2 linked regions of the Ovis aries genome follow. The protein of the gene in region 1 interacts with the protein of each later gene in a pairwise test. Links are inferred from orthologs where the notes say so. Each region holds a gene or a part of one and is shown on either strand. Other genes may lie near its edges. The genes, in order: GRAMD1C and CD151.

Evidence for each region.
Region 2: the proteins of GRAMD1C (region 1) and CD151 interact in binary tests that used the Homo sapiens proteins (3 or more experiments, as listed by UniProt). The link is inferred for Ovis aries from reciprocal best matches to the Homo sapiens genes GRAMD1C and CD151.

Annotation. Positions count from the first base shown.
Region 1 is NC_056054.1:179,455,696-179,460,015, reverse strand, and holds the start of GRAMD1C (protein Aster-C), read right to left. Parts: upstream 3,055-4,320; 5' UTR 3,002-3,054; intron 1-3,001. UniProt on the Homo sapiens protein: Cholesterol transporter that mediates non-vesicular transport of cholesterol from the plasma membrane (PM) to the endoplasmic reticulum (ER).
Region 2 is NC_056074.1:46,921,499-46,926,060, reverse strand, and holds the start of CD151 (CD151 antigen), read left to right. Parts: upstream 1-1,542; 5' UTR 1,543-1,635; intron 1,636-1,948; exon of another isoform or gene 1,949-2,222; intron 2,223-2,532; 5' UTR 2,533-2,633; intron 2,634-3,266; 5' UTR 3,267-3,401; coding exon 3,402-3,485; intron 3,486-3,581; coding exon 3,582-3,773; intron 3,774-4,155; coding exon 4,156-4,230; intron 4,231-4,562. Other genes in the region: CRACR2B (EF-hand calcium-binding domain-containing protein 4A), read left to right, coding at 83-347. UniProt on the Homo sapiens protein: Structural component of specialized membrane microdomains known as tetraspanin-enriched microdomains (TERMs), which act as platforms for receptor clustering and signaling.

The sequences.
Region 1 (4,320 bases):
GTGATAAATCATAATGGAAAAAGAGCATTAAAAAATGTGTAACTGAATCACTTTGCTGTACAGCAGAAGCTAACACAACACTGTAAATCAAGTATACTTGAATAAAATAAGTTAAATTAAAAAAAAATACAAATCCAACATCGTTCAGGTCCTTTTGGATTCGGGAGGTGATGTATTAGTTGTTCACAAATTCTACTTAAGCCTGTTTATGCTGTTATTTGCAGGTCAGTCCACCCTGAACAGGGCTCTCTCCCAAAAAGGATTCTGAGAGTTGTCAAAATTATAATATAACAGACACTCCCAGTAGTGCTACTTTCTCCCCCAAAGACACACACAAGCACATACACAGACACACAAAGAATCCTTCACTGCAGATCCTTTAGCAGCCTCTCTTCATGATTCCCGGAGTCTCTGAACCACTCATAATGCCTCTAAGTTGTCCACAGGTTTCTAATGCAACAAATTATCTCCTTACTCCTACACAATATATCATTTGAACAGCAACGACTGACAGCACACTGGACCCCTTGGAAGCAGAGGCTCTTAAGCTCTGAGCCTACCCTCCACACCCAGCTGCCCATCCTGGCAGCAGGACCTTGCGAGCCCAGCACAGCCACCAAGGTCTCCTTGTTGCAGGACAGAATCAAATCTGGGCCTTCCAACATATCCCACCTACGGGTGGGCATGGCCTCCCCTGTTCTCACTCCTTTGTCATTAGTCATGGGACAAGAAGAAGTCACCCCTCTCTCACACCCTTTGAATACCTGCAGACCAATTTGGATTCAACTGAGTGAAAAGCAGTAGGCGCTCGACACTTTAAACTCCTATTATTAGTCTGATGGACAAACCCGTTGTTTGGTGGACAGCATCAATACCCCTCCACATGCTGGAGCTCACTGGAGACCACTGCACTGAACTGCCCACAGTTATCTTAACCCTGAATGCTCTGGCCAACACCTGGCTTTATCTCCACATTTTTACAGACTCTGGGGCCATGCTTAACAGTGGCACCATTTGGAATAAAGACCTCTGGAACTCTCTTGTTTTCAGTACTCAAAATATAAACCAAGGTCACAAGTGTCAATACATATACTAAAGCCACAATAAAAGGCCTCACCAGAACACTCTTTATCCCCACCAAGAGTTCCAGACATTCCTAACAGTGGCCAAAGTACTCATTTTATTCCTCAAAATACACATGATTGGACTCCTGAACAAGGTATTCAATGGCACTTTTATTTTCCTTACTGACTTCTGTCTCTAGGCCTCATACAAGAGCCAGGATGGCTTACTTAAGTTCAAAATTCAACTAAGTGAAAAATGGTACATTTCAGTCATCAGTCAGACATCAAGTGTAAATTATAATGAGTCTCATTCAATTTTTTCATATTTGCCTGAAGACGGTTTTAAACCTTACCCCTCCTTCTTCCTCCCTGTCTCTCAAACGGGCAAGTTGGTTAAAAAAAAAGTCTGGGTGCCCTTTCATTTGGTGTGGATGCCAGAGTCAAACAAAGCAACAATCTGTGCACAGGCAGGAACCCTTGACCCCACCCCCTAACTGCCGCAAAAGCCCAGAACCAGCCTCATTCCCTTGTCCTTCCAAGTCACTTTGGATCTGCTTAAGAAGACTGTCCTGTTCTTCCCTCTTTGCTATGTACTGTACTTCACTAAGTAATAAGCCTTTATATATAAGTAATAAACCTCTTCATGGGGTGTGTGTGTGTGTGTGTGTGTGTGTGTGTGTTCATCAGTTTCCATCTCCAAATCAAATGTTCAGTAGGAGTCCATTCTGGCTTTACTGGCCACAAGATAATCTTCTCTCTCTAAGGAATCAGCTGCAAGGTCATTGGCAGTCAGTTAACCTAAGCTTCCCTGGTGGTTCGGATGGTAAAGAAACTGCCTGCAATGCAAGAGACCCCGGTTTGATCCCTGGGTCGGGAGGATCCCCTGGAGTAAGACACGGCAATCCACTCCAGTATTCTTGCCCGTGAAATCCCATGGACAGAGGAGCCTGGCCGGCTACAGTCCATGGGATCGCAGTTATTCGCTCACGACTGAACGACTAACACTTTCACTTTCACCCAACTTCTCTAAATCTGCTTTCTCCATTCTACAGTCGGGGCAACAACTCTCTGTAGTCTAGAGAATAAGCTCATTGAGAACAGGGATCATGTCTGTGTTGCTCACCATTTATGCCAAACACGCAGTGCCTGGAACATAGTTTAATGAATGACTGCTTGGGCTCATGAATATCTAACCTGGTCCATTTCACCGTAAGGTTCTGAGAATCAGTTGAAATACCAAGTCCACTCATTTATTCATCCAACAATTATTTGAATGCCTCTACCGTTTTGTAAACTGTAAAATGCTCTCGATTAAAAGGTATTATTGCCCTAACTACGATTCTCCTAAAGTAAAATACATACATACACACAACCAGCGTAAAAGCGGAGGACAGTGTTCAGAAATGCAAGTACTCCTGCAACAAAAGTGGGCTTTCACCCTTAAATTCGGCAAGTCCTTCCGTTAATCAGATAAGGCAGTAAACAAATAACCAAGGCAGTTGAAACTGAAAACGTGGTTCACACCACAGAGTGATTTAAACTATCTAGAGTTCTGAGCCCTTTAATCAAGAGCTGAGAGTTAAGGGAACGGCGTGAGGCTGGATCAACCTGATACCGGATCAGAATCACGACAGGGGGGCCTGAGGTTTGGACTAGGACATTTCAGGACCCAATGCCACACTCCACGCCCCCGAGAAGCCAGTCTTCCCCCCAGAAAAGCAGACCTCCCCCATTGCCCAGAAGGAAAGGCTCCGGGAAGCACAGGAAACCGTTTCCTCGGTGACAACTTTGCAAATTACTCCAATGAGCAACAAGAAAAAGAAAGGGAAAAAGAGGAAATAATGTTCAAAATCTGAGAGGGTTCTAACAACCTTCGCAAAGAGAACTGCCGGGTAAAGCCCTCGCTTGGGAGCTCGTCCCTGAACAGCGCCGCTTACCTGGCAGAGAGTCAGGACGCCTTCCATCGCGGATCCCTCCGCCGCCGAGTACCGCGCACGCGCGCCCCGCCGCGGGGACGAGGCGGCCAGGCGCGCGCCCCAAGCCCTCTCCCGGCGCGCGCTCTGGGATCCCGGCCCCGGGAGTCCCGTATGCCGGCTCTCCAAGGGGCACATTGGGTCTCCTCGGCGCGTCTGGCGCCCTCTGGAGGCCGCTCAGGACTCCCAGCCTCCACCCCAACCCCGTCCCTCAGGATGTACTGTTGTTGGGCTGCAGGCTGAGTCAACGTTTGGGTGTCTTGAGCGTGACGGTGGCGTAAACTCTGCCAAGCGTGGCTGAGAAACACCATAGCTGTGGTTTCTCTTCCACAAAAATACCCAAGAGGACTTCAAAGTGTGTTGACAGGTGCCCAGTAGGGACGCGTCAGAGACATTTGGAAGAAGATTCTAGTTGGCTTGGGAGAGATGACCTCTTCCAAACTGGTTTACCAACTCGTGTATGAGAATCAAGGGTTAACTCAGAAAGGTTTTTGGTGGCCACGCGCTCACGGGAACTGGATCTGGAGACGCTGTTTCTTTGGAGGCAAATCCATGCGAGGTCCAGGACACTGGACTGTCTGTTGCTGCGTGTCACTACCTCACTTCACAGTATGGACTCACTGTCATCTGTGAGTCACTGCAACTCAAGTGTGTCAGGGCAATTCACCGTTTTGTGACACTGAACACTTTATTCCATGAGAAAGCCTTACTTCAGAAGCATCCTAGTTCTGGAAATGAATGCAGTGTTTTGGACCCTCCCCCAGGGTCACTGTTGGTGGCAACCTCAAGGACAACTAAAGCCGGAAGTTGGTGGCTGCATTAAAGAAGAGATGTAATTTTTTTTAATGTTTGAATGGTTTATTTATTGCTTTCCAGGTGGTTACAGTGGTAAGGAATCCACCTGCCAAGCAGGAAACCAGGATTTGATCCCTGGGTTGGGAAGATCCCCTGGCGTAGGAAATAGCAACCCACTCCAGTATTCTTAACTGGGAAATCCCATGCATAGAGCAGCCTGGTGGGCTACAGTCCATGGGGTCACAAAGAGTCAGACAGGACTGAGCAACTAAGCATGCCTGTATTTCCTAGGAATCAGGATGAGTCCCTGTCCATACCTAGCTCTCAACCTCAAACGCCTGTGCCTGCTATGACGTGGCTTCTAGCACAAGTCACTTCTCCCAAAGCCTCCACTCTACTTCTTACCGTACATACCATGCTCCAGAGTGCAAAAAAGGGAATTGCGTGGCAAGGGCTTGTTCCTTCAAATCTTCGATAGAAGTTATTGA
Region 2 (4,562 bases), on another chromosome or scaffold:
GGCGGGGGGGGGGGTCCTCCAGGGGGCCGTGCGGCACCCCGAGGCGCCTTCCTGCACCCGGATCACCACCTCCGTCCTGCAGAGACGTGGTCGCGGTCTCGAGGAACATGCAGAAAGAGAAGCTCAGCCTCCTGCGGCAACTGGAGCTCCTCAGGTGCGTCTGGAAGGGGTCCGCGCCGCCGGTTTCTACCCAGCCCCCATCACCGCCCCCCCACACCGCGAGGAAGCCCTTCCGTGCCCGCGTTCCCCACCCAGGCGTGCCTCCTCTTGAGACCCCTCAGAGCCTGTGGGCTGCTATTCCCCAGGGAGCTGAACACGCGGCTCCGAGACGAGAGGGACGTCTGTGAGGCCCAGCGGCTGGGCAGCGGCCGCAGGAAGGCTCTGAGCTCCGCCCCCCTGCTGGGCGCCCCCTGCTGCTGCTGTTGCAGTAGCTGGGCTCGCCCCCCCAGACGCGGCTCCGGCCACCTGCCCAGTGGCCGCTGACTAGCCCGAGTGACTCACTGGGCCTCACCTGGCTGCTCAGAGAAGCCGCCCCTTGAAGGCGACTCGGCGTCGCCGGGGGCTGCCTATCCAGGATGTGGGCTCTCCCCAGTGAGCTGCCCGGCCTGCCTGACTTGCAGACATGAAGGAACTAACCTGGGGGGTCAGGGACTCATGTCTCTCGCTGCGGTCCTCATTCTATGCCCAGCGCATCGAAACTACCGGAAAACCCCTTCCTCTGAATAAAGTTCACTGACTTCATCCTCCTTGGCGTGTGGGAGCCGTAGCATTTGGACCAGGCGTCCCTCGCCCTTGTGTGTCCACTGGACATGTCCACAAGCCGTCCGCCAGAGTTGTAGGGACCAAGGCACTGAGGCCAGTAGGCCAGGAAGCGGTGGGCGGGCTTCCCTGACCGCCCCCAGCCTCCACCCCTCCCCATGCCAGTCCTCACACAGCCCTGGGGGGGCTAGTTCAGCCCACTGGAGTCCTGAGTGGAGGCACCAGGGGTGGGCCTGAGCTGTCGCCAGTGCCCTCTGCCCTGCCAGCCCGAGCCTCGGGCAGGGAGCAGGGGACGAGGGCGGCCCACCGTCCCGGGAGAGCTGTCCCCACCGACGGCGCCGCCTCGAGCCGTCGGGCGCTCGGCTCTAGCTCCCCAGCGCAGCCGGTCGCAGCCTCTGCCCTCGTTCCCGAACCTTTTCCCACCACTCCCAGGCGACACCCTCCTGTCTGGACCCTCTCACGCCGTGACCCGAGCCTCCCCTGCAAGCCGTCCTCCGCAGGGCGCCCAGAGAGGCCCCTCTCTGCCCCTGACCGCGCCTCTAGGCCGTCCCCCGGGCCGGCCCGCGTCTGTCCCGGGGACCCCCGCAGCCCCGCCCCGCCGCTCGTCCCGAGCGGGCGCCCTCGGGCCGCAGCCCGCCTGGCCTCGGCCTCCTCGCGTGGCCCCCAGGCGGCCGCCGGGGCTGGTGCCCCGCCCGCGCGCGCCGAGCGCCGTCGGGACCCGCCTGCGTCGCCGGCCGGGGCGGGGCCTGCGGGCTCGGGGCGGGGCCCGGGGCGGCCCCGCGCGTCTCGCTCGCAGGCCCGGGCCGGCTGTGTCTTCTGTGCCCTCCGAGCCGCCGCCGCCGCCCCCGCCGCCCGCCGGACTCCGACGCGTGGCCGGTGAGTGCACCGCCGGGCACCGACGACCGGGAGAAGCTGCGCGCCCGGCGACCCCGCAGGCTCCCACCGGGGGTAGACGAGTGCCCGGAGGCCCGGCGGGCCGAGGGTCCGCCGGGCGAGGGCAAGGTGCCTCCCTGGTCTCCGGACGGTCCTTGCGGCCCCCTCGAGCCGGGGGCTCCTCCCGAGCACCCCACGCACTGCGCGAACACCGGTGCCCTCCTCTCCGCCGGTGCCAGTGGGCGGGCCGCGCGCCCCGCCAGGGCGTGGGGGTGGCGGCGGCGGTGACTTCATCGCGGTGACGCGCGAATTCCTCACCGGCCTGCCGGGAGCCGAGCTGGGAGTCCCCCCACCTTGGGGCGTGGGCCGCTGACAGGCCCGGCTGGGCTTCGGGAGCCGGGGGCGGGGCGGCAGCGTCCAGGGCCGCGGGAACTATTTCTGGCCGGCCCTTCCCTGGGGGCTCACCTCCTCCGGGCACTCCCGGAAAGGCGGCCGGCTCCTCAGCCTTTCTCGCCCGAGGGCGGGCCGTGCGGGTGGAGCCTGTGCCTGGAAACAGCCTTCCCCGGACCCAGACCCCAGGACAGGCCCAGGTCCGCCGGCGCGGGGCGTTCTGCACCGTTTCTTCTTCCCCAGCAGCAGCTACTGCCGCTTGGTGGGGGAAGGGCCAGTTACAGGCCAGGTGCCAAGGCTCAGACTAGGGGGCTTGGAGGAGGCGTGCGGTTCCCCCCGGAATCGGACTGTCCAGAAATGTCTTCTGCCCTGCCCCGCCCTAGCCGAGGCCAAAACACCGGGCCTGGCCGCTCCCTTCTCCGAGCGCGGGGGGCGGGGCTTTGGAAGGCCAGCTCGCGGCCAGTACCTGGGTCAGCTACAAGGAGGGATGGTGGGATCCTGCCCATCCAGGTTGAGCCTGACCTGTGGCCTGTCCCTGGCCCTCTAGTGAAGCCTCCTCAGGTGGGAACTTCTGCCTGCCTGCCCTACAGAGGAGCCCTCCCACCAGCCAGGTGAGTGCTAGGGCAGCAGCTAGGAGTCCGGCTCCGGGAGGCACCCTGTCTGTCTGGAAACAGGGCCCCAGGGCTCCTCTGCCCTCTGTGTCCCCACCCCGCTCATGCAGACACCCAGAAACGAGAGGGTGGGGTGGCTCTGGGGAGGGGCACAGGCTGGAGCTTCATTTCCCCCTGGGTCAGCGTGGCTATCCCCATTCAGGAGGGACCCCCAGGTCTGGGGGTGGCGCCTGCCAGCTCTGGCTGGAAGGAAGGCAGGCCGGCCCTTTATGAGGCCTGAGGGCCTTCTCCAAGGCCACAGGACTAAGCTAGAAAAGCACAGATCAGTCTACCTTTGAGCAGCTTCTGCCGCCCCTGCCCCCCCAGCAGCCGGTAGGATCCTGCCAACCTGTGACGTGGGGCACAGGGAATGTTTGGGGTGGGGTGGGGTGAGGGGCCTGTGTGAGCTCACCTGAGCTGCCTGCAGGGCTGAGTCAGCCCGTGGTGGTGGCTGGGGGTCCTCCATGCCTCCCCCGCCATGCCCTGGGCGCTGGTCAGGGGAGCCGGGCCCCCCAGGCTCCAGTTGGGCTGTGGGCACCATGTCTGCCCTTGCCGCAGTGGTGGCGGGGGCTTCCGAGCAGCCCTCCCCCACAGGCGCTCCCAGAACCTTCACCCAGGCAGGGGGTTGGCTTGGCCCCAACCTGGTCTGGACGTGTGTCCCCCGCTCCTCTCCCCGCTGGCGTTTGGCCGTCCTCCCGGGCAGCCCCTCCCCCACCTCCCGGCCCCAGGATGGGTGAGTTTGGGGAGAAGTCGGCAGCATGTGGCACCGTCTGCCTCAAGTACCTGCTCTTCACCTTCAACTGCTGCTTCTGGGTGAGCAGTGGGCACCCCCTTCCCCGACCTCGGAGGAGCCTGGCCAGGGGTCCAGGCCCGGGGCCGGGTGTGGTGACCGGTGTGCACTGCCCGCAGCTGGCTGGCCTGGCCGTCATGGCCGTGGGCATCTGGACGCTGGCCCTCAAGAGCGACTACATCAGCCTGCTGGCCTCGGGCACCTACCTGGCCACAGCCTACATCCTGGTGGTGGCGGGCGTTGTCGTCATGGTGACCGGGGCGCTGGGCTGCTGTGCCACCTTCAAGGAGCGGAGGAACCTGCTGCGTCTGGTCAGCGGGGCTGGCCGCACCGCGGGTGGGGGTGGGGCTCCCTGCCAGGCTGCCTGGGGTGGTTCTGGGTTAGGAGGGCTTAGAAGGGAGACATGGGTGAGACTGCAGGACAGACAGACTCTGCTGTGCTCACCTGGGAGGGGCTCCCTGCCCACCTGTGGGTCCCCGTATCCCGGCTGGGCCAGCAGAGGGAAGACGGCTGAGGAGCACTGGGAGGCCGGGGTCCTCCAGCCCTCACCTGCTGCCGGGGGCCCCCATCGTGTGGCCACTTGGCAGCTGAGGGCAGTGGCTCTGCTCTGCCATGCCTGGTGCTGGGCGTCCTCATGGAATGGGGGCATCTGTGTCCCAGCCCACCTGACTGAGCCCCTGCTCCTCCCCCCAGTACTTCGGCCTGCTCCTTATCATCTTTCTGCTGGAGATCATTGCGGGGGTCCTGGCCTACGTCTACTACCAGCAGGTGAGGGCTGGGACAGGCCACCCGAGGACGTGGACGTGCAGGGACACACGTGCAGTGAGCTGGACATGAGCGTGCAGGAGACGTACACATACACATAGGGACACGGACACCCACGCACTGGGCCACACGCACAGGCAGGGCACGCACGTGAAGACCTGCCATGTAAGGGTACACACGCATGTAGGCTAGGAAGGACCAAGACATACAGGCTGCGGTGCTGAGCCTGGAGATGGAGGCGGGGCCACAGGTGGAGGGTGGACCACAGGGACCGCCAGCTGGCCCTCCGCACCCAAGCTGCCTGCTCGGCGGAGGCAGGTGTCCAGGGGATCTGG